Struthio camelus: one gene and its partners. The protein of the gene in region 1 purifies or fractionates together with the protein of each later gene. This does not show direct contact. Links are inferred from orthologs where the notes say so. Each region holds a gene or a part of one and is shown on either strand. Other genes may lie near its edges. The genes, in order: SF3B1, SART1, PRPF3 and SNRPD2.

The links.
Region 2: the proteins of SF3B1 (region 1) and SART1 purify together in Homo sapiens (co-immunoprecipitation; 4 studies listed by BioGRID and IntAct, with this or other methods). This does not show direct contact. The link is inferred for Struthio camelus from reciprocal best matches to the Homo sapiens genes SF3B1 and SART1.
Region 3: the proteins of SF3B1 (region 1) and PRPF3 purify together in Homo sapiens (co-immunoprecipitation; 3 studies listed by BioGRID and IntAct, with this or other methods). This does not show direct contact. The link is inferred for Struthio camelus from reciprocal best matches to the Homo sapiens genes SF3B1 and PRPF3.
Region 4: the proteins of SF3B1 (region 1) and SNRPD2 fractionate together in Homo sapiens (co-fractionation; 5 studies listed by BioGRID and IntAct, with this or other methods). This does not show direct contact. The link is inferred for Struthio camelus from reciprocal best matches to the Homo sapiens genes SF3B1 and SNRPD2.

What each region holds. Positions count from the first base shown.
Region 1 is NC_090947.1:11,827,525-11,835,093, forward strand, and holds the start of SF3B1 (splicing factor 3B subunit 1), read left to right. Parts: upstream 1-4,569; 5' UTR 4,570-4,678; coding exon 4,679-4,706; intron 4,707-7,569. UniProt on the Homo sapiens protein: Component of the 17S U2 SnRNP complex of the spliceosome, a large ribonucleoprotein complex that removes introns from transcribed pre-mRNAs.
Region 2 is NC_090976.1:736,812-744,684, forward strand, and holds the start of SART1 (U4/U6.U5 tri-snRNP-associated protein 1), read left to right. Parts: upstream 1-4,866; coding exon 4,867-5,269; intron 5,270-6,003; coding exon 6,004-6,058; intron 6,059-7,126; coding exon 7,127-7,182; intron 7,183-7,278; coding exon 7,279-7,405; intron 7,406-7,497; coding exon 7,498-7,603; intron 7,604-7,742; coding exon 7,743-7,820; intron 7,821-7,873. Other genes in the region: amino acid transporter heavy chain SLC3A2, read right to left, coding at 2,028-2,466, 3,959-3,967. UniProt on the Homo sapiens protein: Plays a role in mRNA splicing as a component of the U4/U6-U5 tri-snRNP, one of the building blocks of the spliceosome. May also bind to DNA.
Region 3 is NC_090971.1:2,724,279-2,731,842, reverse strand, and holds the start of PRPF3 (U4/U6 small nuclear ribonucleoprotein Prp3), read left to right. Parts: upstream 1-4,551; 5' UTR 4,552-4,634; intron 4,635-5,036; 5' UTR 5,037-5,138; intron 5,139-7,272; 5' UTR 7,273-7,309; coding exon 7,310-7,454; intron 7,455-7,564. Other genes in the region: MRPS21 (small ribosomal subunit protein bS21m), read left to right, coding at 1,718-1,898. UniProt on the Homo sapiens protein: Plays a role in pre-mRNA splicing as component of the U4/U6-U5 tri-snRNP complex that is involved in spliceosome assembly, and as component of the precatalytic spliceosome (spliceosome B complex).
Region 4 is NC_090957.1:2,001,223-2,008,316, forward strand, and holds the start of SNRPD2 (small nuclear ribonucleoprotein Sm D2), read left to right. Parts: upstream 1-4,084; 5' UTR 4,085-4,212; coding exon 4,213-4,214; intron 4,215-5,375; coding exon 5,376-5,555; intron 5,556-7,094. UniProt on the Homo sapiens protein: Plays a role in pre-mRNA splicing as a core component of the spliceosomal U1, U2, U4 and U5 small nuclear ribonucleoproteins (snRNPs), the building blocks of the spliceosome.

The DNA of each region.
Region 1 (7,569 bases):
AAAATCAGCAGTATATATGACCAGTCATTTACATATAGATAGATATAGCTAGAGATATAAAATATAGAGCATACATTTGCATTAGAAAAGAAATGGTTCCGTTTAAACTCAGATTATAAACTTTAAACGATTTGTAAAACATTTCATTGTTAGGATCTCATCTCGAGGATGACCATTTAAAAAATAGACAGAGAGACAGAGTCGATCCTAAATGAGGCAAATAGATCTGAATTATCATTGTTAAAAAAACGTGCTATTTTTAACTTGCTACGTTCAGCTCTGCTTCTACAGATGTGTGAGCAAGGCAACTAGTTTAATGTGTCCCTTTGGCAGCCAAAGATATGCAGGGTGAAGCAATAATAAAACCATTGTCTTCTTACTTACAAAAAGATTTTGAATAGTATCTGCAATTGAAGTATCTCAAAATACCCTATAAACTTCTGTAAAGTCTCACAACCACATCATTAGGCAGAGAAAGACGAACTACAAGCAGGAGAAATGGGTAAATTACTGGTTACATGATCTGCAAACAACAGAAGTTGATGCCACAGCTAAGAATTAAGGGCAGATTTACTATTTCACACTCTGGTACATTATCAGGAGCCATAATATAAAATTAGGAGAGCTTTCTTGTATTTCATATATCACAAGTGAACTAGTTTCTGGCATAGCAAGAATTAGGCATACCCTCAATCTACAAAAGGATCCTCAGACGCCCACTTAATCCTACCAGCTATCACAGAGAGCTCTGTGTCTTTATACTGGATAGCCTGAATCCTGTTATGGGGCTGGTGAATCTCTGCCCAGCTTTCCTGAATTCCTGGTGTGCCCAGTTCATGCCCCGAGATGTTTTGCTGCAGAGCAGTGCGTGGATTATGGCTCCTCACCCCTTTTAGGGATGCCCGTTTACTCTCTGCCTTGGTTTTCCACATGTGCAAAGGGAGAAAAATAGCAGTAGTCCCATTGCCAAGCGGGATCAACGACATTTATAACTGAGCTGTTTGGGTGCAGCAATACTGGAAAAGGCACAAATAGATAAAGCAGGTAGAAGGTGACATGCCCTCCCAGGGCCTGACAGCCCAGGGCCACCCGCACCCCTGGCCTGACCCTGCTGTAAGGACACTGCCACTGCTGCCAAGCCCCGGCACCCAGGTCCAAATTTTCCGGCCAACAGCTGAGAGGACTGACCTCAGGTCAGAAGGGGGCTCTGGCCCAGCCTCAACCCCCCCCCCCCCCCCCGGCACTGCAGTTGCTATTTGCATAGTGTTAGCTTGTGGTGCATTATTTTATACCATTAGGTGTGCGGAAAAATTGAATATAAATAAAAAGTTATTTTGGGGTAAATCAACAGGAGAGTGTAGCCAGGAGCATGGCTTCATTAAGTGAATCAGTGCCAGAAACTTCTGCTGGCCCCTCGGAAGGGGTAAATCAAGGACAGGCTAATGTGGCTGGATACTTCTTTCAGCCACAGTGCCAGCTAATGATGGCTTCAGCTGGCCAAAGAAACTGGACCTGAATCTATTCCATAAAGCAAGACATGGCAGGTCTGTAATTTAGGTCTGATTTACTCTAAATCTGCGAAGCTTTGGGGTTCTTAAATCCAGTCTATTCCCAATCCATAGAGGAGTCTCCCTGCAGTGTATGTGCATGTGCGTGCAGGGGAAGGGAACTTTGATAGGCAAAACAGGACTGGTAAACCACTAAGTACCATCCTGTCCATACCCTGTGGAAGCTGCGTGTTAGGGATGTTGTTCAGGAGGCAAGAAATTTGTGTATGCCTATCGAAGCCCTGAATCCTGACACAAATTAAAGAGCCTCGACAGCGTACAGAATTTGTGAGAAAAGATAAAAGACACAAAGAAGCAGAAAGCAGTTTTGTCACTGCACTTCACAGTATATCCTGCTTCAGCACAACACAATTCCTGTCGGCTCTCACAGCACCTTGAGAGAACTCCATCTTTTGTGGGGGAAATAGCATATCCTCAAATTACTACGTAAAAGAGTTCCTTGGGTTGACCACTGCTGAGCTTAGTGATGCATAACAGCAGAAGGAGCACAGCATTGCTGTCCATAACCGTTCAGCCTCACAGGAGCTGGAAGTCAGGCTGAGGAAACAAGAGAAAGTTACTGCAAATTGATATTCATAGTGAACCCGAGCATGTGACGCAGTTACTTAAAATAGTTACATGCATTAAATTCCTGCAGTAGGGAATTACTGTCTGCCTCAATCTTACCCTCATCTATCTCTAGGCAGTTCAGTACATATCTCCTTTTGTGGCCGCTAAGTATGTGCAAGTACATCTTTCTAGAAATGCAGAATGTGAGCTTAATAATACTAAGAGAAGAGAGAGAAGACTCTCAGTATCTTCAAATGACAGTCTCGTTCACTTAAGAACATTTGAATACATTTAATTATGTGAAAAAATAAAAGCAAGGAACTGTTCAGCAAACTTACGTGAGCTAAGCAACACAAAGCAAAAAGAGGTAGATGACAGATGGACAGATCAAACACAGATATTCCCACAAACATACAACCTTGGCTTTATCTTCTTTAAGACTATCCTCCAGGAGTCCTAATGTGAACAATCAGCCTTCATAATGGGAATGATTTATAGGCAGAGAGTGTGATGGTTTTGCCATCATGTACTTATCTCCCTTTTTGCAAATAATTTCTACATTTTACCTTATCAGAAATTCGTTCAACTCACTCAACAGAAATTGTTTCACATTGCTTGTTGCAAAGGCTTGACTATCTTAGTAATTTAGCAGTTGTACAATAAAACCATAAATACAAGTAAATATACTACATAAGATTACATATTACACTGAGTGCTATGAAACGTCATTAATGTGTTGCAAGATTAAGCAATCCTGTATCTGAACTTTGAACTTAGGTTGTGTGGTTAGCCTTGCTGTTTTGCTTAGATTTTTGCCTACTACTGCTAAAAAATAAGACAATGACGAGTTAGCTCATTTGCAACACTTGATATAAGGGAGAGTTCCAAGGGCTTTGGATGTGGACAGAATCAATCCTATTCAGATATGAAGTGCAGTAGCGATAGTATTGAAATATGGATATATCACATTAAAAGAAAAACTGCTAGAAAAGGTAAGAGTTTCCAAAATGAAATGCTGAAGCTGCACAAGAGCAGTTATTGCAGAACAGCCAAACAATTAGTTTCTGTCACCATTCCTACCCAGGGCACGTTTCATAACCCTCTGATCATTCCTCTGCCCTGGTCTGGACTATGTCCAGCTTGTCCACGTCTTTGTTAAATTGCAGAGTCCTAGAATGAACTGCACCACGATGTACTCCATCAGTGGCTTTGACTGTGCCAAGTGAAGTGAAATGATTGCTTTCCAGGTTTTATATACAATACCACTGTTACTCTATCCCAGAATTGGATTTTCTTCTGCAGCAGCATGATGTTGCTGATACATATTTAGCTTTGATTTGCTATCCACATCAGATCATTTTCTCATTATTTTGGCTATTTTGAAAGTGTATACTTGTTTTCAACTTCCAATATGTACTACGTTATGCTCGTCTTCATTAAAGTCCACCTTCTTGATCTCAAATGATTTCTTTTAGGGATCAAGATAATTTTGAATCTCATCTTGCAGCTACTAGTAACTTTGGCCAGTTTGGTGTCATCTGCCAATTCTAGAAACGTATCTTCAATTCCCTTTTCAAAGGTCTTACTAAAATATTCAGTAGAATTGATCTGCCTAGAGTGCTTTTGTCCCCATTAGACAGAGAAAAACATCGGTAACTATTCTAAGGGCGATTTTTCACCCGTCTTGTGGCAAATATACAAATTTATGCCCTGTTTTTGTATCTGTTGCTTTGTCCTTTGTTATCGGCCCAGTTTGCCTGGTAAGAGCAAAGAAAGGTCACGCAATTTGGCAAAACGTAGCAAAGTTGCCAATCTCCACACCAGAACCAACCCTCAGCAGGGAGCAGCATCAGTGAGAAGCGATTTTTCAGGAAGCAGAGACTTATTTGATTGTATTTTGACTATCCGTGCAGTGCAGTGGAAGCGTCATCGTCTTTCGGTGTCTCAAACGAGAAGAAGGCATCTCGCAGGCAGATACTGAAAGAGCGCCACTCATTTGTCTTTGGCTGAAGACAAACGAGAAACACTGGAGCCCTTGTACTTCAGGATAACACAGCAGCTACTTACTGCCGTGCCAAGGCCAGCAGAAGACACTGTCCCCTATCAACTGGCCTGGAAAGCACCGCTCCCTGCCCTCGCCCTGCGTTTGGGCCCTGCCCGCAGCCCTGCTGCGCCACACGCCTCAGCCCGCCTCAGCGCCCCCCTCCGCGCGCGCCCCTCCCAACGGCCGCCCCCGCGCGCGCCCCTCCCAACGGTCTCCTCCACGGCGCGCCCCTCCCAACGGCCGCCTCCGCACCGCTCAGCCGCCCTGCCATTCGCTGACCGCGCCGTCCATCACGGCGTGGGCGGGGCTCCGGCGCTGGCTCGCGGGGCTGCCCGGCCGGCAGAATGGCACCGCCTCTCGGCCTTCACTGCGCTTGCGCGGGGCCCCGCGCCGCGCTCAACCCGTGCCCCGCCCCCCAGCTGGCGCTTGCGCGTTGAGGCCCCGCTCCCCCTCCCCTCTGTAGCGGAAGTGGCTGGGCCGAGCCAGTTCCGCCTCGGCGTTGTTCGCTCTGGACAAAATGGCGAAGATCGCCAAGACCCACGAAGGTAAAAAGCCCCTATAGAGCCGCGGCGGCGCTGCTGGTACCCGCGTGTCCTGCCCCGGCCCTCCGATTCCGCTTCTCCCCGACTCCTGGGCCGCGTCAGGCCCGGCTGCGCGGCCGGGGGCCGGGGCCGGGCGGGCTCGCCCCGGGCGGGCTGGGCCTTGTGTAATGGCGTCTCCGGCGGTGTCACCGCCATGCCCGGGCCGCCGGCTGGCGCGGGGCCGGGGCGCCGCTCAGTTCCGGCTTTGTTGACCCCGAGAGGCCGCCGCGGCGCGGCGGCGACGTGAGCGCGGCCCCGGTCGCCCGTGGGCCGCGCCGGGCCCGGCCCTGGCCCCGCTCCGCCGCCGCGGCCTTGCCCCCTGCGTGGCGCCCGCTCGGAATGGCGCTTTCCGCCCGCCTCGGTTTGACGTGACGCGCGTCAATAACGCACGCTTATTTTGTTTAAGTGAGCCCTTGGGCCTGTGTCCGCTAGAAAGCGGAGGCCGCGGGCGCAGGGTGAGCTGTGATGCTGATGGCCTGAGTTGTTGCTAGGCGTCGTGTCGGCACGGCGCTGTTGAGAAAAATGCCCCGAAGGAGGGGAAAAAGCAGCGTGAGGTCTCAGGCTTTTAAAATGCCGTTTCAGCACGGAGGCTTCCTGTCGACTGGGGGTTTACATGGGAAAACTGATCTCTGAGCAGTTTGTGAGTGAGGGTCTTTACAGGCAGTATGTTGTTGCTCTCTGAGGTGTTACATGGCTCTGTACAGCATGAATAAAAGCTATCTCTTTTGTCAATGTCAGGGGTTTGTTTAGCTCTTAAGTATCTTAAAGCAAATGGTGTTGTTTTTAGAATTGTACTGCTTAATGCTTTCCTGCAAATGTTTTCTGTTTTTGTGTTTTTACTCATGTTTCTGCGTGTGATAGATGAACTGCTGTGCTTTGTATTAATTTACATACTGGATTCACTAATCAAAAAGTACTTCTGGACAATGGTTGTACCAAGTGAGGTAGGCAGGCTGTCTCTCAGGGAAGTAAGTTTTGCACTGAAAAAAATTCCTAATTTAGAGGCAGCTCCAGGTTGACGTGGACTGCAGGATCTGGTCTGAGCTTATGTAAGAAGGGGAAGCTTAAATAATTTTCTTCACTTCTCCCCCCCCCCCCCCCAAATAATTTGAGATTATATTTTAGCATTCTATAATGTTTTTTATAGAGTTACTGAATTTATTTATCTTCTGGTTATATGCTATGGCATGTATAAGGTTTGTATTGGATATTACCCAATTGGGTGTTACACATCACAGTGCTCTGTCTCTCTCACTAGTCAAAGATATTTTAATAATAAAATAGCAATATGATGTTTTTTCTTATTTTTCTTATACACTAAAGCAAGTCATGGTCCATTGAATTTAACGGAAGTGTTGTCATGCTTCCAGTTATGAGTATTAACAGATTAGCTTTGAAGCAGGCTTTAAAGGGTTTTTTGGTATGTAAATAAATTGTTATGTACAATTGGCAGTCATCATGTAATGTTATCTTGCCCTACATAGACATACTGGCTGAATGACTTGATTTTTTTTTTCTTTTGAGTTGTATGTTTTTTTTTTTTTTTTATTCCTGACTTATCTCCTAAATTGAATGAGTTATCTGTTACTAAATTCTCTTAAGATGTTTCACATCTTTGTACTGCTTTTAAATACTTGCTGATTTGATGTGTTCAAGACACAACTTGGAAAAGATCTCACACAGTTTGGGATTATTTCACTTGCATGATCTACAGGGAAATACTCAGTTAAATTAAAGTTTCAAAGTTATAAAAAGGTTATAAAATAGGAACTTATAAAGTATCTTAAGTGCTTGAGTTTTGAAATGCTACTGAAAATAGGTTTTTAATTGACAGTGCCTTGTTAAATAAGAAAAAAGGTTAAAAGAAGCAAACCTCCAAACATAATAAAGATTTAGTCCTAACACGGAGGAGAATCCTAAAGTGATTAGGATTGCACAGGGCAAGCTAAGAATGCAAAAATATAATTAGTAAATTGGAAAACATAGAAACTACTTCCACTCTAAAATACTTAAAATACTACTTCAATACAGGGAATGATTCTTCTTTCTTTTTTTAATGACGAGTAACGTTTTCCTTTCCAAACGTTGTAGATGGAACTAATCTTATAATAGTGGAGTATGTATTTTGAGAAGGGCTATCATGATCTGACTGTGAACTAGGTTTTCAGTGACTTTCAATTCATATGTGTTCACTTTCATGTTATGTATTCACTGTATTTTCCAAATCAATTGTGCATGTTAAAAGTACTCTTTCAAAAATACCAAAATATGTTAAAGTTACTGAATGGGGTAAAATACAGAAAGGGGATGATCAGTGGGATGTTGTGCTGTGTTTTGTGGTCTCTACTGCTGTTTGATCGAAGTAACTTTCTGTGTTTAGGCCCTGGTTCAGTAAATCATCAGACAAGTACTTCGCTTTACAAAATCACATTCCTAAGCTATCGAGATTACTCTCATTCTTCATCTGTTTTATGTTTAAATGCTTTCTTAAATAGAGTGTTAGATTTTTCTAGAAAATGCTGGCTAGATCAAGGAAGGTAAACATCTCTTTAATCTCAAACTAAAGTCTTTTCCTGCCAAGTATGTGGTACTTTGGAAACTTGCAATCGAGTTGTGTCTGGCTGCAGACCTTTTAAACCTGCTGGTTAAGGGAGGGTGCAGCTCATCAAATGGATGTTCTCTTTAAGAAGTGCTTCATTTAGACTGTAAGTCTAGCACTTACGGACTTCATTGCCTTGGTTGAAAATGATCATGGCCATAAGTGGGGGTTTGCTAACCCTACTGATTCCATGCCGACTCTTTTTGTGGTTTAGAATAAGCTGGCAGG
Region 2 (7,873 bases), on another chromosome or scaffold:
CCCAAATTCCCCCCCCAGGCTGGGAGGAGCCCTCAGGGACCCCAAAACCCCCCCAAATAGAGGGGAGACCCCAATTTCCCCCCTGGGCTAGGGGGGAGCCCTCAGGGACTCCAAAACCCTCCAAAACAGAGGAGAGACCCCAAAACACCCCCAAATAGAGGGGAGATCCCAATTCCCCCCCAAGCTTGGAGGAGCCCTCAGGGACCCCAAAACCCCCCCAAAATAGAGGGGAGACCCCGAATTCTCCCCCCAGGCTGGGGCAAGCTCTCCGGGACCCCAAAACACCCCCAAATAAAGGGGAGATCCCAATTTCCCCCCCCCCGGGCTGGGGGGAGCCCTCAGGGACCCCAAAACCCCCCAAAATAGAGGGGAGACCCTGAATTCCCCCCCTGGGCTGGGGAGAGCCCTCAAGGACCCCCCCCCAAACTATCCTGCTGTGTCACAGCCCCCCCCAAAGCTGAGTCATTCCCCCGCCCCAGGCGGTGGCTGATGAAACCCGACCAGCTGGAACCGGTTCCAGCACGTGGGGCCCCGGATGCCTGGGCCCTGCTGCCCGTGGGGGAGGGGCTGCCCCAGACACCGGGTCCCTTTGGGGGGGGGGGCAGCAAGGTTTTGGGGTGACACGGGGCGAGGGGGGACAACAGGGTCTAATGGTGACAGCGGGGACAATCCTGACACCCCGAGGGGACAGCGCAGCCTGATGGTGACAGCGGGGACAACCATGACACCCCGAGGGGACAGCGCAGCCCGGCGGTGGCAGCAGGGACAACCACGACACCCCGAGGGGACAGCCCAGCCCAGTGGTGACAACACGGACAACCATGACACCCCGAGGGGACAGCACAGCCTGACGGTGACAGCAGGAACAACCTTAATGCTCTGGGAACACGGGGTCAACCTGGGACGAGACACTACAGGGCCACCTCATGGTGACACAGGGCCACCTCTGCCACCCCATGGGGAGCCAAGGCCACTTCTGCCATCCTATGGGGAGGAGTCCCTACAGGGCTACCCCATGGGGAGCCAGAACCACCTCATGGGGAGGAGACCCTGCAGGGCCACCACATGGGGACTGAGGGCCACCTCTGCCACCCCATGGGGAGCCAAGGCCACCCTGACCACCCCATGGGGAGGAGACCCTGCAGGGCCACCCCATGAGGACCCAGGGCCACCTCTGACATCCCATGGGGAGCCAAGGCCACCCTAGCCACCCCATGGGGAGGAGACCCTGCAGGGCCACCCCATGAGGACCCAGGGCCACCTCTGCCACCCCATGGGGAGCCAAGGCCACCCTGACCATCCCATGGGGATGAGACCCTGCAGGGCCACCCCATGAGGACCCAGGGCCACCTGTGACATCCCCTGGGGAGCCAGGGCCACCCTGACCACCCCATGGGGAGGAGACCCTGCAGGGCCACCACATGGGGACTGAGGGCCACCTCTGCCACTCCATGGGGAGCCAGGGCCACCCTGACCACCCCATGGGGAGGAGACCCTGCAGGGCCACCCCATGAGGACCCAGGGCCACCTCTGCCACCCCATGGGGAGCCAAGGCCACCCTGACCATCCCATGGGGATGAGACCCCTCAGGGCCACCCCATGAGGACCCAGGGCCACCTGTGACATCCCCTGGGGAGCCAGGGCCACCCTGACCACCCCATGGGGAGGAGACCCTGCAGGGCCACCCCATGAGGAGCCAGGGCCACCTCTGCCACTCCATGGGGAGCCAGGGCCACCCTGACCACCCCATGGGGAGGAGACCCTGCAGGGCCACCCCATGAGGACCCAGGGCCACCTCTGCCACCCCATGGGGAGCCAGGGCCACCCTGACCACCCCATGGGGAGGAGACCCTGCAGGGCCACCCCATGAGGACCCAGGGCCACCTCTGCCACCCCACGGGGAGCCAGGGCCACCCTGACCATCCCATGGGGATGAGATCCTGCAGGGCCACCCCATGGGTACCCAGAGCCACCCCACAGTGCCACCAAGCCACCCCCTACCCCATCCCTCCCTCCCTGCTCCTCACCCGTGAGGTTGTGGGCGAAGGGGCCGGGAGGAGCGCGGTAGAGGAAGCCGCGGCGGGCCCAGGAGTCCGGGGGCAGGGGCCGGCAGCGGGGGGCGCGCACCACGATGGCCACGGCAGCGCCCAGCATGCCCAGCCAACCCAGCCAGAAGAGCAGCAGCAGGGCGGCCCGGGCTCGTGCCCACCCCGCCGCCCCGGCCACCCGCACCAGCTCCTCCTTGCCCAGCCCCGTGAACTTGGCGCCCGTGCCGCCGCCGCCGCCTTCCTCGCCCTCCTCTTCCTCATCCTCCTCCTCGCCGGGCGCCGCCCCGCCAGCGGATTTCGGGGGCGCCGCTTTCACCAGCCCATTTTTCTCTTCGACGCCACCGGCCATCGGCTGCTTCTCGGCGTCCAGTGTCGTCAGCTCCACGTCGCGCAGCGCCGCCGCCTCCGGCTCCATGGCCTGCGGGTGAGGTGGACGCCCCCGCGTTGAGTCTCCTGGGCACCCCGAGATCCCTCCCAAGCACCTCGAGATCCCCCCAAACCCATCTGAGCACCCTCAAATCCCCTTCTCTGGGAGGAAAATGCTCCCAAACATCTCCAGATCCTCCTAAGCACCCACCAAATGCTCCTCCAAGGATACCGAGATCCTCCTGGGCACCCCGAGATCCCCCTGGACCCACCTCAGCATATCCAAATGCCCATCCAAAGACCCTAAGATCCTCCTGGGCACCCCGAGATCCCCCCAAACCCATCTGAGCACCCTCAAATCCCCTTCTCTGGGAGGAAGATACTCCCAAACACCTCCAGATCCTCCTAAGCACCCACCAAATGCTCCTCCAAGGATGCTGAGATCCTCCTGGGCACCCCGAGATCCCCCTGGACCCACCTGAGCACACCCAAATGCCCATCCAAGGACCCTAAGATCATCAAGGACCCTGGGCACCCCAAGATCCCTCCCAAGCACCCTGGGATCCCCCCGAACCCACCTGAGCACCCCCAAATCCCCTTCTCTAGGGGAGAGATATTCCCAAACATCTCCAGATCCACCTAAGCACCCCCAAATGCCTCTCCATGGACCCTGAGAGCCTCCTGGGCACCCCGAGATCCCCCCAAAGCCACCCAAGCACCCCCAAATGCCTCTCCAAGGACCCCGAGACCCTTCTGAGCACCTTGAGATCCCCCCAGAGCCATCTGAGCAGCCTCAAATTCCCCCCAAGCACCCTGAGGTACTCCTGGGCACCTCAAGATCCCCCTGGACCCACTTGAGCACCCCCAAATCCCTCCCCAACCATCTCCAAACCCACTTGAACACCCCTAAGTCTCCCTCCTGGCCACTCTGAGATATCACCCAGGCCTCCCCCAGACCCACCTGAGCACCCCCAAATCCCCTCAGGCACCCAGGACTCACCTGGGCACCCCCCAGTGCCCTAAGAGCCTCTGGAGCACCCCGAGATCCCCCTGAGCACCCCAAGATCATCTCTAGGTACCCCCAGACTCCACCCCAAACACCCTGAGATCCCCCTAGGTGCACCCAGACCTTGCAGGGTCCCACTGTGCACCCCAATATCCCTGCAGGCACCTAGAGAACCCCCCACCGGGCACCCCAATATCCCCATGGGCACCCCCCAGACCAGGCAGGGCCCCACTGTGTGCCCCAAGACCCTCCCGGGCACCCCCAGAGCGTGCAGAGCCCCACTCTGCACCCCAATATGCCCCCCAGCACCCCGATATCAGGCACCCCCAATAATTTGGGGTCCCCCCCCAATCATCCATAGCTAAATCCAGGGTCCCCGGACTCCTGGGTCCCCACGTCAGGCAGGGTACCGCGCCCTTTTCCCCTAAAAACAGGCATCTCCCCTCAAAATAGTGGGGCCCCCCCCAAAATAGTGGGGAACCCTCCGAAAAGCAGGAATCGCCCTCAAAAAGCGAGCCACCCCTCCCCCTCCCCGTACTTGCGTCATCCTTACTGTCACCTATGGGACGGGCAGCGGCGGCGCTGGCTCTATATAGAGCGCCCGTGCCCCGCCCCTCGCCCCGCCCCTCCGCCCCTCGCCCCGCCCCCTCCGCGGCCTAGCTCCGCCCCCGCGGCCGCAACGCGCCAGGATCAAAGTGCAGGAAGTGGGGGAGGGGAGGGGGCGCCGAGACAATGCCCCATTGTTCCCCGCCGGGTGGGGGGGAAGGGGCGGCGCCGCCCTTCCCCCACCCCGGCCCCCCCACCCCAAACCTCGAGGGGGCCCCAAAACGCAGCGCGTTCCCCCACCCCGGGGTCTGGGTCCCCCCCACCCCCAAACCTTGGGGGTGGTGGGACATGGCCCCTCCCCCCGGGCGCCATTTCGGGGTGCCCCCAGGGGGCCGCCATCTTGGCTTGCCTTTGCAGCAGCCATTTTGGGGACACCCCCCCCACCTTGGCCACCATTTGGGGGGGCCCCCAACTTGGAGACCATTTTGGGGTCCCCCCTTCCCCTCCCCGGAGGCCGTTTCTGGGGCCCCCGCCGCCCCCCACGGAGACGCCATTGTGGTGTTTTCCGCACACACACGGAGCCGCCATTTTGGTGGCCCCCTCAGGAGGCCGCCATTTTGGTGACGCCCTGGAGGTCGCCATTTTGGTGACACCGCCCCCCACCCCCGCCTCCACGTGTCCTGCCGGTTCCTGCCCGGACGCCTGGGTCCCTGGGGGTGGGGGGGCACCGGACTCTGCCCCCTTCTCCCCCCCCAACTTCCGCTGCGTCCCCACGGCAACGCGGCGCGGCCCCGCCCACCAGAGGAAGTGACGCCTTGAGGGGGCGGGGAAGACACCGCGGCTTCCGCCGGAAGCGGCGCGGCGACCCCGGAAGCGGCCGCCGGCGGGAGCGGCGCGGCCATGGGCTCCTCCAAGAAGCACCGCGAGCGCGGCGGGGCCGAGGCCGGCACCGAGGAGGCCCCGGCGGCGGCGGCGGCCCCGGCAGCAGCAGCAGCAGCGGCGGCAGCAGCAGTGGCGGCGGCGGGGGGAAGCGGCGGCGGTAGCGGCGGCAGCAGCAGCGCGGCGGGGCGGCCCCGCGAGCACCGCAAGCACCGGCACCGCGGCGGCGAGCGGCGCGGCAAGCGCAGCCGCTCCCGGGGCGAGCGCGGCGGCGGCGGCAGCGGCGGCAGCGGCTCGTCGCGACGCGGCGGCACCGAGGAGTCCGGGCGCGGCGGCGGTGGCAGCAGCCATGGCCGAGGCGGAGCCGAGCCCGACGCGGGGCGACGGGGCAAGAGGGAGCGGCGGGAGGAGCGGGACGAGCCCGGTGAGAGGGCCGGGGGGTCCCCGGGGGGCGTCTGGGGGCGGCTAGGGGGCTTGGGGGGGCGTCTGGGGGCGGCTAGGGGGCTTGGGGGGGCGTCTGGGGGCGGCTAGGGGGCTTGGGGGGGCGTCTGGGGGCGGCTAGGGGGCTTGGGGGGCGTCTGGGGAGGGTGTTTGGGGGAGGGCGTTTGGGGGCGGCTGGGGGGCTGGGGAGGGCGTTTGGGGGCGGTTGAGGTGCTTGGGGGGTGTTTGGGGGTGGCTAGGGGTGGTTGAGGGTTTGGGATGGGGGGGGTCTGTGGGGACCTTTAGGGGAGGTTAGGGGGCTTGGAGGGGTCTGGGGGCCTCTGGGGGTGGTTATGGGGCCTGGGTGGGGGTAATTAGGGGGTCTTTGGGAGTGGTTAGGGGGCTTTGAGGAGTACTGGGGGAGGTCCTTGGGGGAAGCTATGGGGCTTTGGGGAGATCTAGGCGTCTCTGAGGGTGATTGGGGGCCTTGAGGGTCCTTGGGGGTGCTGGGGGGTCTTCAGGGGGTGCTGGGAGGGGTCCTTGGGGGGGTCATTATAGGGCTTTGTAGAGATCTGGGGGTCCTTGGGGGTGGTGATGGGGCTTCGGGAGGTTCTCGGGGGTGGTTGTGGGGCTCTGAGGACGGTTATGGAGCCTTGGGGTGGTTGTGGGGCTTGGGGAGGGGGGGTTACGGGGTACTGATCCCCCTCGTTAGCTAACGACCCCCCTTGCCCCCGCCAGCCACCGCCTCTAAGGCCGCCGCGGGCGAGTCGTCGCTCAGCGTCGAGGAGACCAAGTGAGCCAGAGCCCCGCGGGGCCCCCGATACCCCCAATACCCCTCTGATGCCCCCAGTTACTTTTTGTAACTCTTAGTTGCCCCAATATTGCTCTGATACCACCCGATTATTTCTTGTAATGCCCGGTTACGCTAGTTTTTCTCTAATACTCTCAGATTATTTCCTGCAACTCTTGGGTCCGCCGGTGCTGTTCTGATATCTGTCATTTATCGTAGCCGACTCGTAGTTATACCGACGCTTTTCTGATACTTTTTCTTACACTCTCGTTACTCTGGCAAACTCCCGACACCCCAATTACCTCCTGTAACCCCTCGCGTTGCCCCCGTTACTCCTGGTCGCTCTCCGATACCCCAAACAACCCCCCAGTTCTCCTGATAAGTTCTTGGTGCTGCCCAGATTTTCACCACTGTTGTTCTGGTGCAGTTCTAAGTATTTCTAGCGTATAGTTCTTTTTTTGGCTACTTTTAATACTCAGTAGTTACTTGTTTAAGTTCTAGTGGCTGTTATTACCCTGATATACCCCCAAATCCCCCCGCTTACTCCTCAGTTGCCCCAGTACTTTTCTGATGCTCTGCAGTGCTCCCCCAATGCCGTTTAAAACTGTGCTCGTAACCCCAAAACCGCACTGTTTTGCTCTGATATTCATTCGATGTTTTCCAAGGTTTGGTGAAGTTCCTCAAATGTTTGCAGAAACCTTGAATGTTCTGTGAAAAGTCCCCATAAGGCCCCAAAATGTTCCCAGTTACTGCCAGCACTGCTCTGCGCTGCCCAGTTACCCCCAGTATCACCCCAGCATTCCCCCGTTACCCCAAATATCGTTAATACTCTGCAATTACTGCTGAATGCTTTTTAATTTTCCTTAAATCACTTCAAATGCGTTTGCTTACCATGATATTTATTAATTTTTTTCTAATGCCTGCGCTGCCCCCACCCCAGGGTGCCCCCCACCCCTGTTTGCTCCCACACATTCATTTCCACCACCCCCGTCCCCATATTTGCCCCCCAGGCCTCAATTTACCCCCATATTTGCCCCCTTTTCTCACCCCTTTGTTTTTCCCCGTTTCCAGCAAACTCCGCGCCAAGCTGGGGCTGAAGCCGCTGGAGGTGTCCGCTGTGAAAAAAGGTGAGGAGAAAGTGCCCCCCTCGCCCCACTTTGGAGGGGTTCCCTGTGTTCTTGGCCCCCCCCCAACGCCCCCTTTTTCCCCGTTTTTCCCCCCAGAAGCCGGCACCAAGGAGGACCCGGTGGCGGCCGACGTCATCAACCCGCTGGTGCAGCGGCAGCGGGAGGAGATCCGCGAGAAGCTGGCGGCCGCCAAGGAGAAGCGGCTCCTCAACCAAAAACTGGGGTGAGCCTCCCCCCACCAACCTGCCTCTGCCCCGGCAGCACCCACACGGGTGGGGGCGGCCCCAAGAACCCCTTTTTTTCCCCCGGAACAAGGAAAGTGAAGACGCTGGGCGAAGACGACCCGTGGCTGGACGACGCGGCCGCCTGGATCGAGCGGAGCCGCAAGCTGCAGCAGGAGAAGGAGCTGGCGGAGAAGAGGGTGAGCTCTGGGAAGGGGACCCAGGCGTCCGGGGGTGCCCTGCCCCTGTGCCGGGAGGGGACCCAGGCATCCGGGTGGGTGAATAACCCTCCCTGCCCCCACCATGGGGTTAATTCGGGGCGAAACGGCGCCGTTTCAGGCCAAGCTGCTGGAGGAGATGGATCAAGAGTTTGGTGTCAGCACGTTGGTGGAGGAAGAGTTCATGAGAAGGAAGCGGGTGAGCTCGGGACCCCCTTGGGGACGTCAGGACCCCCTTGGGGACACCCCTGA
Region 3 (7,564 bases), on another chromosome or scaffold:
TGGAGCGCGAGACTCTGTCAGGGTTGTCGCAGTCTTTGGGTTCCCACATCATTTTAAATTGGTACAAAAACTTGCCTGAATTACAATGTGGACGAAGTCAAGGCTCAGACGCCAGGTTTTCCTGAAATGGCTTAAGCCGTGCTTCTAAAGGTTCGTTGCTTGCGGTGGCTCGTTGCCATCCGTAACAGGTAGGCAGTTATGCTCCCTAGGGCTGGGTTCAAGGACCTCCGTGAACCTTGTATGAGCTCTGCTTGATTTAACCTCGGAAACGAGGATTGCTGTCCTTGTACCAAGCGATAAGAAAGATGCAAGTAGATGAACAGAGTACATGATATGGCGGGGGGCGTGAATGACAGTTTTTCTCATTAGCAGCAAAATCACCCGGTGTTGCGTGAGGAGCTTTGATCTTGAGTTGTAACAAAGAGCAGCAACAGATGATTCAGCAGGTGAAGGCTGCAGTGTAAAAGCAAAGATTAAGGGCGTATGTGGTTTAAAAATAGCCAAGTTTAAGCGCAGCTGTGGGCAGACCAGGTTAAAACGCTCATCCTTGTGGCTGTAAATGGGAACGTGTTGTAAGGATGTTGGAAAAAGCCCGGTGCAGCCTTCCAAGCTGTGCTTGGGAGTTTGCCCCTACCCAGCAGGGAGAAAGCATTTCCCGTTGGGAACGGTGGTGGCGGCGAAGTGGCCGGCCATGGGGCTTTGATGTCGAGAGAGGCAAAGCCACCGTGGGAGCTCTGCTGCCGCCCCGGCGCGGGGAAGAGGAGCGGTGAGGGGGGATGCTGGAGCCGCCTCGGGAGCAGGGTGGAAAAGAGCCCAGCGCTGGGGCTTATTTATAGCTCTGAGCTTAGCGGTGCTGACGTGACTATTTCCACTAATAACTTCGGGGAGGAATGCAGCTGCGTCCCACCTCGTGTGCTCGCTGACGGCTCCAAGAGAGCCTGCACGGGGCTGACTCGCCGTCTGTGGACGCCCGGGCCGTGGTTTAGGAAAGGTCTCCGCTTCGCTCTGCTGGGGCGAAACATGCTGAAGGTGACGGTAAGCGCAGGCAGCAGCGTTGGTGTGGCACCACATGCCTGCCAGGCTGTCATCTCCAGCCGAGAGACTTGGTAACCATGGAGAAAACTGCCTTTACCTGCAGCACATTAATTTTTCACAACTACCAAGCAGCTTAATGAAGTTTTAAAGGCGTTTTATTTTCCTCCTGATAATTCTCAGCCTGCTAAGCGAAATGCTTTAGGACCTCTGATGTTTTTGCATTAATGGCCTCTGAGCAAAACAAGTCGGGATGACTGGCGCAGCATGGAGACGACCGATCCTTGCGTGCACTGAGCTGGGTCAGGTGTTGGCGGGTTACCCCTCTCCTGTTCTCAACCAGCCCTGTCTGCCTCTCTTCACTGGAAAATCATTGCAAATGCCTCACCATCAGAGACTACCTGCGCTGTAATTCCTACTGGCAGTAATTGATGCAGGAGAGTTAAAAATATGCAAGTGAGGCCCAGTTCTTTACCCAAATCCCCAGTGTTTTGACCTGCCTGTCATTCCTGCTGTCAGCTAATTTAAAGAAATAGGTGATGCAGGGAGCAGCAGGCTAAACGGAGCCTGCAGTAAGGGCTCTCTTGCGTAATACGGGCTCGTGGGTGGGTTTATTTTGGTGTTTGATGCAGTCGGCGCATTGTGCAGAAGCCGCGACGTTTGACTCCGCTCTTCCTCCCCGCAGAATCCTCTCGCATGACGGGATCATCGACGACGTCAAGCAGAAGCGGTACTACGAGAAGCCGTGCCGCCGAAGGCAGCGGCTGGCCTACGAGGCGTGCCGGCGCGTTTACAACACCGAGATGGCCCGGAAGATTGCCTTTCTGTCGCGGAAGAACCGGCAGGACCCGTGGCTCGGCCACTAGCTCCGGCCGCGCCGCGGGAAATCGGGAGCTGGCAGCCCTCTGTCGCGGCCCCTGCCACGGCACCGCGCGCGAGGGCCGGGCAAACCGAGCTCCTCTCCACGCGGAGGACGGACCTGTGTCACTGCTGTCACCTTTCTATCTGTTAATAAATACATCTTGGCAGCGTCGCCTGCTGTGCTTGGGTGACGCTCGGGTGAGCAAATCGTGTGCGATTCTGCTGCTCGAACTAGCCGCTCCTCTGCGTCTTGTTTAAATAGCACCTGGCCTAGCTAAGGCCATCCTGGCCTCTTGCAGACCAATGGGGAGAAGGACAATTTCTGATTTGGTTTGTATAAATAGCAAAGTGCTGGCAGTGTATTTTTAAAATAATCATTTTCCCCTCAGTTTGCAGTTTTGACAGGCAGCAAGGAGCCTGTGTTACGCAATAAGGTGCTGCTTGTTTTATTTTACTTGTTTTTGAGGTCCCTTTAGCCTCTCAAATCTGGCTGGTGGATTAATACAAATGACAGTCTGTGCTTCCTGAGGAGGGAAGCCACTTGTTCTGGTTTGGTATGAAAATCCTAAATACCATCTCTTTTTTTTTTTTTTTTTTTTGTAAGGCTGCTCTGGTCAGCTCAAAGTCCACATTACACAATCTTACCAGCCTCCTCCCTCTGCTCTTGGAAGGGTTTTATTTTTCCAGACCAACTGCATCCCATGCCCCAATAGTTTGCACCCTGGCACTGTGTAACAGGATCACTTTCTTTGCATGTTGAGAGATCCATGGGCCTTTTGTCTGTGCCTGCGTGTCAACAGGGCAGGGGGCATCATTGCTGCAAAACCCTAGCGTTTGCTCCTGGGAGCATGAGGTAGCAGCTGCAGCTCTTGGGGGGGTGGGTATTTGCTTGCCGGTGTCCCAGTGCTGGGGGGGCAGCGGGTGGCAGGAAGCTGTACAAGTGCTGCAGGTATGCTTGGGGGTCTTTTGCAGAGCCAGCTGTATGAGCGTGCAGGCTGAGGGGAAGGGGAGGGCAGCCCTTGTGTTGCACACTGCCCGTTGCACACCAGCTCTTGAGTGCTGCAGATTGCCCCTTGCATGCCAGCCCCTGCGTGCTGCCTGGCCTTTGCACACTGCATGCCAGCCTCGCATGCCCCCCTTGCAGGCTGCCCCTTGCATGTTGCATGTTCCCCTGCATGGGGCACGCTGCCCTTGCACACTGCCCCTTGCATGCTGCATGCCACCCTCACACATAGCCCCTTGCACACTGCATGCCACCCTTGCATGCTGCATGCTGCTCCTGCATACTGCCCCTTGCACAGTGCATGCTGCATGTCATCCTTGCATGCTGCACACTGCCCTCGCACATCACCCCTTGCATGGTGCATGCCACCCTTGCACGCCGCCCCTTGCACGGTGCATGCTACCCTTGCACGCTATCCCTTGCATGCTGCACATCATCCTTGCATGCTGCACACTGCCCTCACACACCACCCCTTGCACAGTGCATGCCACCCTCACACTCCACCCCTTGCATGGTGCATGCCGCCCTTGCACGCTATCCCTTGCACGGTGCATGCCACCCTCGCACACCACCCCTTGCACGATGCATGCCGCCCTTGCACACCACCCCTTGCACGGTGCATGCCACCCTCGCACACCACCCCTTGCACGATGCATGCCGCCCTTGCACGCTATCCCTTGCATGCTGCATGCCGCCCTCGCACACCACCCCTTGCACGGTGCATGCCGCCCTCGCACACCACCCCTTGCAGGATGCATGCCACCCTCGCACACCACCCCTTGCACGATGCATGCCGCCCTTGCACACCACCCCTTGCACGGTGCATGCCACCCTCGCACACCACCCCTTGCACGATGCATGCTGCCCTTGCACGCTATCCCTTGCACGGTGCATGCCGCCCTCGCACACCACCCCTTGCACGATGCATGCCACCCTCGCACACCACCCCTTGCACGGTGCATGCCACCCTTGCACACCACCCCTTGCACGGTGCATGCCGCCTTCGCACACCACCCCTTGCAGGATGCATGCCACCCTCGCACACCACCCCTTGCACGATGCATGCCACCCTCGCACACCACCCCTTGCACGGTGCATGCCACCCTCGCACACCACCCCTTGCACAATGCATGCCGCCCTTGCACACCACCCCTTGCAGGATGCATGCCGCCCTTGCACACCACCCCTTGCACGGTGCATGCCGCCCTCGCACACCACCCCTTGCACGGTGCATGCCGCCCTTGCACACCACCCCTTGCACGATGCATGCCACCCTCGCACACCACCCCTTGCACGATGCATGCCACCCTCGCACACCACCCCTTGCACAATGCATGCCGCCCTCGCACACCACCCCTTGCACGGTGCATGCTGCTCCTTGCACGCCGCCCCTTGCAAGCTCCCTGCCGCGCAGCGCGCGTGCCCCGAGGCGCGCGCCAGGGGGAGCTCCGCGTCACCCGCCCACGTAACGCGGGGAAGGGGGGGGGGGGAGCCCACGTGACCTCGGCGGCGGGCGGTGCTGCGTCACGTGCCGAAGGAGAGCCCCCCCCCACCCTCCTCTTTCCCGACACCCCTTGCGCGGGCGCGCGCGCAGGCGCCTTGCGGCCGTTTCCGCTTCCGCCCCGACGTGCCGTCGCCGTCCGGGCCCACCGCCGCTGCCCGGGCCGGGCCCTGCCCTGCCGCCGCCGCCGCCGCGGGAGTGCCGGGGCCGCGCCCCGCCGCGGGGAAGAGCCGGGCGGTGAGGAGCCGCCCGCGCCGGGGCCGGGGGGGGTCGCACTTGGGGGAGGGGCGGCCTACCGGAGGCCGCCGTCGCGTCGCGGGGAACTCCCGAGGCCGGGGTTGGGGGGGGGGGGCGGCCGGCTCCGCCCCCGCGGGCTGCTCCGCTGCTTTAGCGGCCGGGCCGGGCCGCGGGGCAGGACGGGCCCGCGGAGGCCGCTGCCTGCGGCCGCCGATTCCGCGAGCTGCTCCGGCCGGGGCTTCCCGAGGGCTTTTGTGCGGCGGGAGCGCCCAGCGTTCCTGGGTGTGCGCCGTCCAATAGCTCCTCAGCACCCCGAAGTTCACTGTGCCTGGCGTTGTTGCTTGGTTTTAGGCGTGCAAGTTTTGCAAGATAAAGTTAATCCCCTTTTTTCTTTTCCCGAAGGATTCGGTTGTTTTGCCAACAGCGCTGTGGGACCATCGCTTTCAGGTTATTTCTGGGAAATAATATAATGAAGGAGGCGAGTGGATGTATATTTAAATTAAGGTGTGTTATACGCTTCAGCACCAGTTTCCTTACTGAAATTTATTAAGCCTTGCCCCTCACCTGAGTCTGTCATGCCCGCAAGCTAACATTGTGTACACAGTGTTAGGAGCACTAATGCTGCTGGAAGAGGTACCTTTAGATGCCAAGCAGTGTATTTACTCTCCTTATATTCACCCAGTGAAATTCCATTAAACGTGTTGCAGTTCTTTGTTGTACCTTATTGAATTACATAAGTTAAAGATTAATGCGGAGTTTAAACCAAAAATGAATTGTGTAAGTTTTGGATTTATCAAAAAAAAACTTTTTTATTTGTATGTTTATGTATATATGCAGCTGTGACCAACATCAGTATTGCAGATGCAGTGTAGCACTCAATTAATTTAAATTATCTTGAATCTTGGACACCTTTATTCTGACGTGCTATATGCTACAAGTCAGGAGTTACAGCTGAAATGTAGTAGTAATGTACTTTTGAGCTGTGTTTGATGCTGCTTTTTAACATACCTCTGTGAAACTCTCTGTAGGGGGGAGGAAAAAAAAGGATGTGAAGATTTTCAACCTTTTGCTTTGCAGACTGTTACGAAGTCTCTGGTGAAAATGTAACTGCCCCTAGTAGCTATTTTGAACCTGTAGCTTTTCTTCTCTTGAGTACTTCCCGCAGACCCTAAATTAAAAAGCACTTTACTAGAACTAAGGCCCAAGATCTTTTTTTTGTGGCCCTCTCTTTGTGAGTGATAGCCTTATTTGAGGTGGTATTTACTTTCTGTTTAAATAGATCCATATTAACCTCCAGGCTATGCAGGCGTTTTCTTCTAGGGAAGAAATGTCTAGGTCAAACATACTTCCTTAAGAAGATTTTCTCCTGTTTCCAGATAAAGAAGACTTGGTTTCCAAATCAGATTAGAGCCTGGGTGCATAATTAAACTTTATTGCATTTACAGACTCTAAATGACATTAAAAGTATGAACCACTAATGACTGACGGTGAGAGTTTTTTGTCTTGAAAGCCTGCAATCTGTTGTTCAGTTCAAAATGATCAGGCTGGGAAATACGTTGTTACTGGCTTGCTGGAGACTGATGCTAGTTTAAGTAGCAAATGCAGGGGTAGTCAGGCACGTGCTGAACTTTAAGCATTAGTAAATCTGTTGACTAAATGAGATTTTCAAACTTAGCCTTGAGCATAGCCACAAATTTCCGGGACTTGGACCGCATGCCACAGAATAAAGTGTTTGTACAGGCTCATGTAGTAAGGCAGAATGAGAAGGCTGGGAGATGGTCTTTTACTGCAGATTGTGACTTTAATCTCTCCCTGGAGTAAGAAAAGGGCTGCAGCACTTCATATTGTGAAGCACAGCGTGTTCAAAGTAGTCTGGGAACCTCAGATTAAAGGGACGCGGCGCTCTAACATATGTGTATATGCACGTATTGGATTTTTCAGTATCTGCTTGGGATGTTATTTAGCCCACATAGTTTTAAAACAGTGGATACAATAAGCTTGCCTTGAGCAATGTAGTCCGTAATGAGCTGGTGGTTTTCATGGAAGGTGAGTGAGTCTTTATCCATTAGTAATTAGCTGCATAAATAAGTAAAGCCATTGCTGTGCCTGACACTGGTTGGCTTTCCTGCTTTTGTAAGACAAGCCAAGGACTGAAGGGACACCTCAAAACCAAACTTTCCCATCCTGTTTGTGGGGATCCATGTGTGGAAGTGGAGCCTGCGCTGCAAGGACAGATATGCTACTTGGTTTATTTCTTCCCCTTTAGGGAAGATGGGCTTTGTGTTGGTAGGATTTAGGAGATGCAGGGACTAGTCCTGCTTTTCATGCAGAGTTCCAGAGTAATCTGTGAGCATGATGTTTCCCTTAGGAAGGTCTTATGCTTTGTCTTGTCTGGTCAGAGTGTAGGCTCCTTGCTGCTCAGACCCTTCCTCTCCATGCTTCTGCAGGACTCTTAGCTAATTTTAGCTTGCATTTTAAAAACAAGCAAGCAAAAGTAATCTCTGAGAGCTTTTATTGGTTGTAAGTTTTCTCTTTGAAGAGAAAAATACAGGGCATTGATACAATGATAATCTGTCTTTTTTTTTTTTTTTAAACTAATTGTGTCGGGTTTTTTTTCCCTTGTCTGTCTGCTTTTCAGGTACAAGCACGATAATTAGAATCAGCCACTAGCAAAGATGTCGCTGTCCAAAAGAGAATTGGATGAGCTGAAGCCATGGATCGAGAAGACAGTGAAGCGAGTCCTGGGGTTCTCGGAGCCCACTGTGGTTACGGCAGCGCTGAACTGCGTTGGGAAAGGAATGGACAAAAAGAAAGCAGCTGGTATGGCCAGAGTGCTCTGACCCCAAATCTGCAATTGTTTGTAGAAGCACTTGGACCCCTTGATAGAGCAAGCAGTGCGTAGAATAGGTGCACAATAAGCAGCTCCTGGG
Region 4 (7,094 bases), on another chromosome or scaffold:
CTCCACCTGGGACCAGTCTAAGCTCTAACTGGGACCAGTCCCAGCCTCTAACTGGGACCAGTCCGGGCTCTAACTGGTTTTGTCCCCGGACTCCTGGGTCCTTCCCCCCCTCCCCACCGGGGGGGGGTGCGGCGGGGGGAGGGGCCCGGACGCCTGGGCTCCTTCCCCTCTCTGCCCTTGGGAGAGCAGCTTCCCTCCCCCCCCCCCACCCGGCCCGGACGCCTGGGTCCCCTCCCGGTGGGGGGAGGGGTGGAGGGGTCTATGGGGCGGGCCCGGACGCCTGGGTCCCTGCCAGGTTCGGAGAAGGGGGGGGGAGGATGTGGCCCGGACGCCTGGGCCCCTTCTTGGTGGGGGGGGTCCTGAATGCCTGCGCCCTCTTTTTGGGGGGGAGGGTCCCGGACACCTGGGCCCCTTATTGGGGGGGGGTCCCGGACGCTTGGGTCCCTTTTTGGGGGGTGTCCCGGATGCCTGGGTCCCCTCTTAGTGGGGGGGGGGTTGCCCAGATGCCTGGGCCCCTGCCAGGTTTGGAGGGGTGTGGCCCGGACGCCTGGGCCCCTTCTTGGTTGGGGGGGGGGTCCGGCCGCCTGGGTCCCTGCCACGTTTTGGGGGGGGTGTGGCCCGGCTGCCTGGGTCCCCTTCTTGGTGTGTGTGGGGGTCCCGGACGCCTGGGCCCCTGCCAAGTTTGGGGGGGTGTGGCCCGGACGCCTGGGCCCCTTCTTGGTGGGGAGGGGGTCCCGGACGCCTGGGCCCCCTTTTAGGGGGGGTGGGGGGTGTCCCGGACGCCTGGGGCCCTGCCAGCTTCGGGGGCGGGGGTATGGCCCGGACACCTGGGTCCCTTCTTGGTGGGGGGGACGCCTGGGTCCCCTTTTGGTGGAGGGGGGTCCCGGACGCCTGGGCCCCTGCCAGCTTTGAGGGGGGTGTGGCCTGGACGCCTGGGTCCCTTCTTGGTGAGGGAGTCCCGGACTCCTGGGCCCCCTCTTGGTGGGGTGGGGGGTGTCCCGGACGCCTGGGCCCCTGCCAGCTTCGGGGGGTGTGGTCCAGACACCTGGGTCCCCTCCTAGTGGGGGATCCCGGACGCCTGGGCCCCTGCCACGTTTGGGGGGGTGTGGCCCAAACATCTGGGTCCTCTTCTTGGTGGTGAAGGGGGTTCCCGGACACCTGGGCCCCCTTTTAAGGGGGGGGGTCCCGGACACCTGGGTCCTTGTTAGGTTTGGGGGGTGTGGCCCGGACGCCTGGGCCCCTTCTTGGTGGGGGGTGTCCTGGACGCCTGGGCCCCTGCCACATTTCGGGGGGGGTGTGGCCCGGACACCTGGCCCCTTCATGGTGGGGGGGGTCCCGGACGCCTGGGTCCTCTCTTAGTGGTGGGGGGGGCCCGGACGCCTGGGCCCCTGCCACGTTTGGGGGGGTGTGGCCCAAACGTCTGGGTGTCCTTCTTGGTGGGGGGGGGTCCCGGACGCATGGGCCCCCTTTTAAGGGGGGGGGTCCCGGACGCCTGGACCCCTTCTTGGTGGGGGGGGACCCGGACGCCTGGGTCCCCTTTTGGGGGGGGTTCCCGGACGTCTTGGTCCCTGCCAACATTTGGGGGGGGTGTGGCCCGGACGCCTGGGCCCTTTCTTGGTGGGGAGGGGGTCCCGGATGCCTGGGCCCCTGTCAGCTTTGGGGAGGGGGGTGTGGCCTGGACGCCTGGGCCCCTTCTTGGTCGGGGGGGGGTGTCCTGGATGCCCGGGCCCCCTTTTGGGGGGGGGGGTCCGCACCTAAGGCCGGTGGGGAACCAAGCAGGGACCCAGGCGTCCGAGGGGCCCAGGCGTCCGGGGGAGGCCCGTGGCCGGCGGGAGGGGGGGGGGTGTCACCGGGCAAGACACGCCGAGGCCACGCGTGACGAGCCCGCGAGGCGGCACGCGCCCGGCCCGGCGCACACGCGTGTGCGACGCCTCGGCCCTGGCGTGGCGCCCGGCCTGGCACCGGCCCCGCGGCCGCCGGCCGGGGAGGGGCTGCCACCGCCGCCGCTCGCACGACGGCGCACGTGGCTCGCACGAGGACACGGCCGGCTCGCACGAGGACACGCGTGACATGCACCAGGACACGCGTGACTCGCACGGGAACCGACCTGGCTCGCACGGGGACACGCGTGACTCGCACCAGGACACATGTGACTCACACAGGGACACGCGTGACTCACACGGGGACCCGCCTGGCTCGCACGGGGACGTGTCCGGCTCGCACCAGGGCACGCCTGGCTCGCACGGGGACATGTGTGACATACACGAGGACATGTGAGACTCGCATGGGGACCCATCTGGCTGACAAGGGGACACGCGTGACTCACACGAGGACACGTATGACTCGCAGAAGGACACGCGTGACTTGCAGAAGGACACGCGTGGCTCACGTGGGGACCAACCTGGCTCGCACGAGGACATGCGTGACTCGCACGAGGACCCGCCTGGCTTGCACGAGGACACGTGTGTCTTGCACGGGGACGCGTGTGTCTCGCACGGGGACACGCGTGCGTCGCACGAGCACCCGTCCGGCTCCCTCGGGGACCCTCGTGCCCCCCCCTCACCCCGGGACGGCCGGTCCCCCACGCCCCGCACACGCGTGGGGGAGGGGGCGGACCCCCCCCGCCCCGGCCCCGCCCCCCTGGCCGCGCTGGCCCCGCCCCCGGCCGCCCAGGCTCCGCCCCCCTCCCCGTACCTGGCCGCCAGCCGCCCGGCCATGGCGCCGCCGCCGCCGCCGCCGCCGCCCTCTGCGCGCCCGCTCCCACCGCGCCGCCGACCCCCGCCCGGCCCCGCCCCCGGCCCCGCCCCCGGCCCCGCCCCCGCACGCCCCCTCCCGCCTCCGGCGGCGCGCCACGCCCCCTGCTCCGCCGCTGCCGGCCACGCCCCCTCCCGCCGCGCGACACGCCCCCCGCTCTACCGCCGGCCCCGCCCCCTCCCTCCCGCCCCGCCCCCATCGCCGGCACACCCCCGTTCCTTGGCCACGCCCCCGAGGCCACGCCCCTCGGACCTCCCCCCGCCCCGCGCCCCGCGCCCCGCTCCGGGCAGCCCCCCTCCCCCCCCCCCAGCACTGTCACCACGGGGCACCCACGGCACCCGCTGCCCCCCCGCACTGCCCCCCCCGCACTGCACTCACTGCCCCCCACTGCACCCCCTGCCCCCCCCGGCCATCCCACTGCCCCCCACACTGCACCCGCTGCCCCCCACATCTCCCACGGCACCCGCTGCCCCCCCGCACTGCACCCCCTGCCTCCCCACCCCGCACTCTGCACTGCCCCCACTGCATCCTCAGCACCCCCGCACTGCCCCCTTGCGCTACCAGCACCCACTGCCTCCCTCGTGGCACCCCACACTGCACCCCTGGCACACACTGCCCCCCACCCCGGACACCCTGCACTGCTCTCCTCCGGGCACCCCCAGCGCCCAGCGCCTCCCAGCACCTTGTTCTGCGCCCGCTGCCTCCCCACGCCCCCTCCCGCTTTGGTACAACTGGGGGGGGGCGGGGGCTCATGTCAGCCTGGGCCCCCCATGAGGTCCGTTTCCAGCCCCCCCATGTCTGTTTCCACTCCCCATGTCTGTTTCCAGCCCCCCCAATGTCCATTTCCAGCACCCCATGTCCGTTTCCAGACCCCCCATGCCTGTTCTCACTCCCCCATACACGTTTCCAGCCCCTTCATGCCCATTCCAGCCCCTATGGCAGTTTCCAGCCCCCCTATGTCCATTTCCACTCCCCATGCCCGTTTCAACCCCCACATCTGTTACCAGCCCCCCATTATCTGTTTCTAGCTCCCTCTGTCCATTTCCAGACTCCCATGTTCGTTTCCAACCCCCCCAAGTCCGTTTCCAGCCCCCCGTGTCCGTTTCCACCCTCCATGTCTGTTTCCAGCCCCCCATGTCCGTTTCCACCCTCCATGTCTGTTTCCAGCCCCCCATGTCCGTTTCCAGCCTCCCCATGTCCGTTTCCAGCCCCCTCCGGGCAGTTTCTCGCCCCCCCCAGCGCTGCCGCCGTGGCCGCGCGCGGCCCCGCCTCTTTTGGCCGCTCCGCCCTGCCGTAGCGGCGGCTCTTCCCTCCCCCCTCCCCGCTCCCGGCGCGCATGCGCAGCGCCCTCTTTCCCCCCGCGAGTGCGCCGTGACCCCGGAAGTAGCTCCTGGGCGCCCCGGAAGTGGATCCGTGCGGGCGGCGCGCGGGAGCGGGAGACGCGCGAGGGGAGCCGCCATGTGAGGGGGGAGCGGGAGCGGGGGGGAACCGGGAGCGGGGGGGGGGACTGAGAGAACCGGGGGCGGGGGGGGAACCGGGGGCGGGGGGAACTCAGAGAACTGGGAATGGGGGGAACGAGAACAGGGGGGAACCGGGGACGGGGGGGGACCGGGGCCGGGGGGGGACCGGGGACAGGGGGAATGGGAACGGGGGGGAACCGGGAACGGGGGGGAACCGGGGATGGGGGGGAACTGAGAAAACTGTGGATGGGGAGAACAGGAACAGGGGGGAACCGGGGCCGGGGGGGGGGAACCGGGGCCGGGAGGAACTGAGAGAACCGGGGATGGGGGGGGGGAACGGGAACAGGGGGGAACCGGGGAAACCGGGGATGGGGGGAACCGGGAGCGGGGGGGGGGGGAACCGAGGACGGGTGGGAACTGGGAGAACCGGGAGCCGGGGGGAACCGGGGATGGGGGGGAACTGGGGGTACGGGTGACGGGGGGGGGAACTGGGAGAATCGGGGACGGGGGCAACGGGAACAGGGGGGAACTGGGGATGGGGGGGAACTGGGGACGGGGGGAATGGGAACGGGGGGGGGAACCGGGGCCGGGGGGAGGGGGAACTGGGAGAACTGGGGATGGGGGGGAACCGGGGACAGGGGGAATGGGAACAGGGGGGAACCGGGAATGGGGGGGAACTGGCAGCGGGGGGAACCAGGGATGGGGGAGAAATGGGAGGACCGGGGATGAGGGGAAACTGGGAGGACCGGAAACGGGGGGAACCGAGAGCATGGGGGATCCGGGAATGGGGGGAACGGGGAACTGGGAGTGGGGGGGAACTGGGGGAGGGGGAACTGGGAACAGGAGGGAACAGGAACGGGGGAGGGGGGCCAGGAACAGGGAAGACCGGAAACGGGGAGGACTGGTAAGAGGGGAGAACCAGGGACGGTGGGAACCGGGAGCAGGGAGGGGACCAGGTCTGGGCTCCCCCCTCTCCCCAATGTCCCCGCTCCCCGTTGTCCCCCCCCTCCCAGTGCCCCCCTCATGCCCTTGCGCCCACTCCTGCGTCCCCCCGGGCGCGTCTTCCCTGCTGTCCTGTTCCCCCCGTCCTCTGTTTCCCCCCCCCCTCCCCCCATGCCGGTGTCCCCAACCCTGGGGTGACCCGGCGGGGTGACGCCGCAGGTCGCTGCTCAACAAGCCCAAGAGCGAGATGACGCCGGAGGAGCTGCAGAAGCGCGAGGAGGAGGAGTTCAACACGGGGCCCCTCTCCGTCCTCACCCAGTCCGTCAAGAACAACACCCAGGTGCTCATCAACTGCCGCAACAACAAGAAGCTCCTGGGGCGCGTCAAGGCCTTCGACAGGTCCGTGTCACCCACCCCCCGGTGTCCCCAAACCCACCCCGGCGTCCCTAAATTCCCCTGGGGCCCTCTGTGTTCCCGAATCCCCCTCCTGCCACCCCAAAGTTGTCCCCGTTGTCCCCAAATCCCACCCCGGCCTCCTTAAATCCTTCTGGAGCCCTCCGTGTTCCCAAATCCCCTTCCTGCCACCCCAAAGTCCCCCCCAGTGTCCCCAAATTCTTCCCCGATGTCCCCAAATGCCCCCCTGGAGTCCTCTGTGTTCCCAAATCCCCCTCTTGCCACCCCAAAGTTATCCTTGGTGTCCCCAAATCCCACCCTGACCCCCCCAAATCTTGCCCTAGAGGCCTCTGTGTTCCCAAATCCTCCTCCTGCCACCCCAAAGTCGTCCCTGTTGTCCCTAAATCCCACCCCAGCCTCCTTAAATCCCTCTGGAGCCCTCCGTGTTCCCAAATCCCCTCCTGCCACCCCAAAGTTGTCCCCGTTGTCCCCAAATCCTTCCCTGGCATCCCCAAATGCCCCCCTGGAGCCCTCTGTGTTCCCAAATCCCCCTCCTGCCACCCCAAAGTCCCCCCAGTGTCCCCAAATTCTTCAGTGCTCCCCATTGTCCCCCCAAAACCTCCCATGACCCCACTACCCCCCTGAGGACCCCAGTGTCCCCCCAAATGCGCCTCGCATCCCCAAATCCCCCCCGGTGTCCCCCAAATCCCCCTGGAGCCTCCCCCGGTTCCCAAATCCCCCTGCCACCTCCCCACAGTGTTCCCCGGTGTCCCCAAAACCTCACGGGAGCCTGGTGTCCCCCAGGAATCCCAATGTCACCAAAATTCCCCCCCACCCCCAGTGTCCTCACGTGCCCCTGGAGCTCTCCATATTCCCCCAATCCGCCTCCTGCCACCCCAAAGTTGTCCCCGTTGTCCCCATATCCTGCCCCAACGTCCCCAAATGCCCCCCTGGAGCCCTCTGTGTTCCCAAATCCTCCTCCTGCCACCCCAAAGTCCCCCCCAGTGTCCCCAAATACTTCCCCGACGTCCCCAAATGCCCCCTGCAGCCCTCCGTGTTCCCCAATCCCCCTCCTGCCACCCCAAAGTCCCCCCCAGTGTCCCAAATCCCACCCTGGTGCCCCCAAATCCTGCCCCAGCATCCCCGAAATCCACCCTGGCTTCCCCAAATCCCCCTCTGTGTTCCCAAATCCCCCTCCTGCCACACCAAAGTTGTCCCCCGTGTCCCCAAATCACCTCTGTGTCCCCAAATTCCCCTGGAGCCCTCCAGGTTCCCAAATCCTCCTCCTGGTGGCCCAAAGTGCTCCCCAGTGTCCCCCCCAAAACCTCCCAGCACCCCAGTGTCCCCCCTGAGGACCTCAGTGTCCCCCAAATGCCCCGGGTGTCTCCAAATCCCCCCTAGTGTCCCCAAAATTCCTCCTGGCACCCCCCCAGGTTCCCAAATCCCCCTTTTGCCTCCCCAATATCCTCCCCAGTGTCCCCAAAGTCCCCCCCGGGAACCCTGCTGTCCACAAATTCCTCCCTCTTTCCCAAAGTCCCTCCCCCA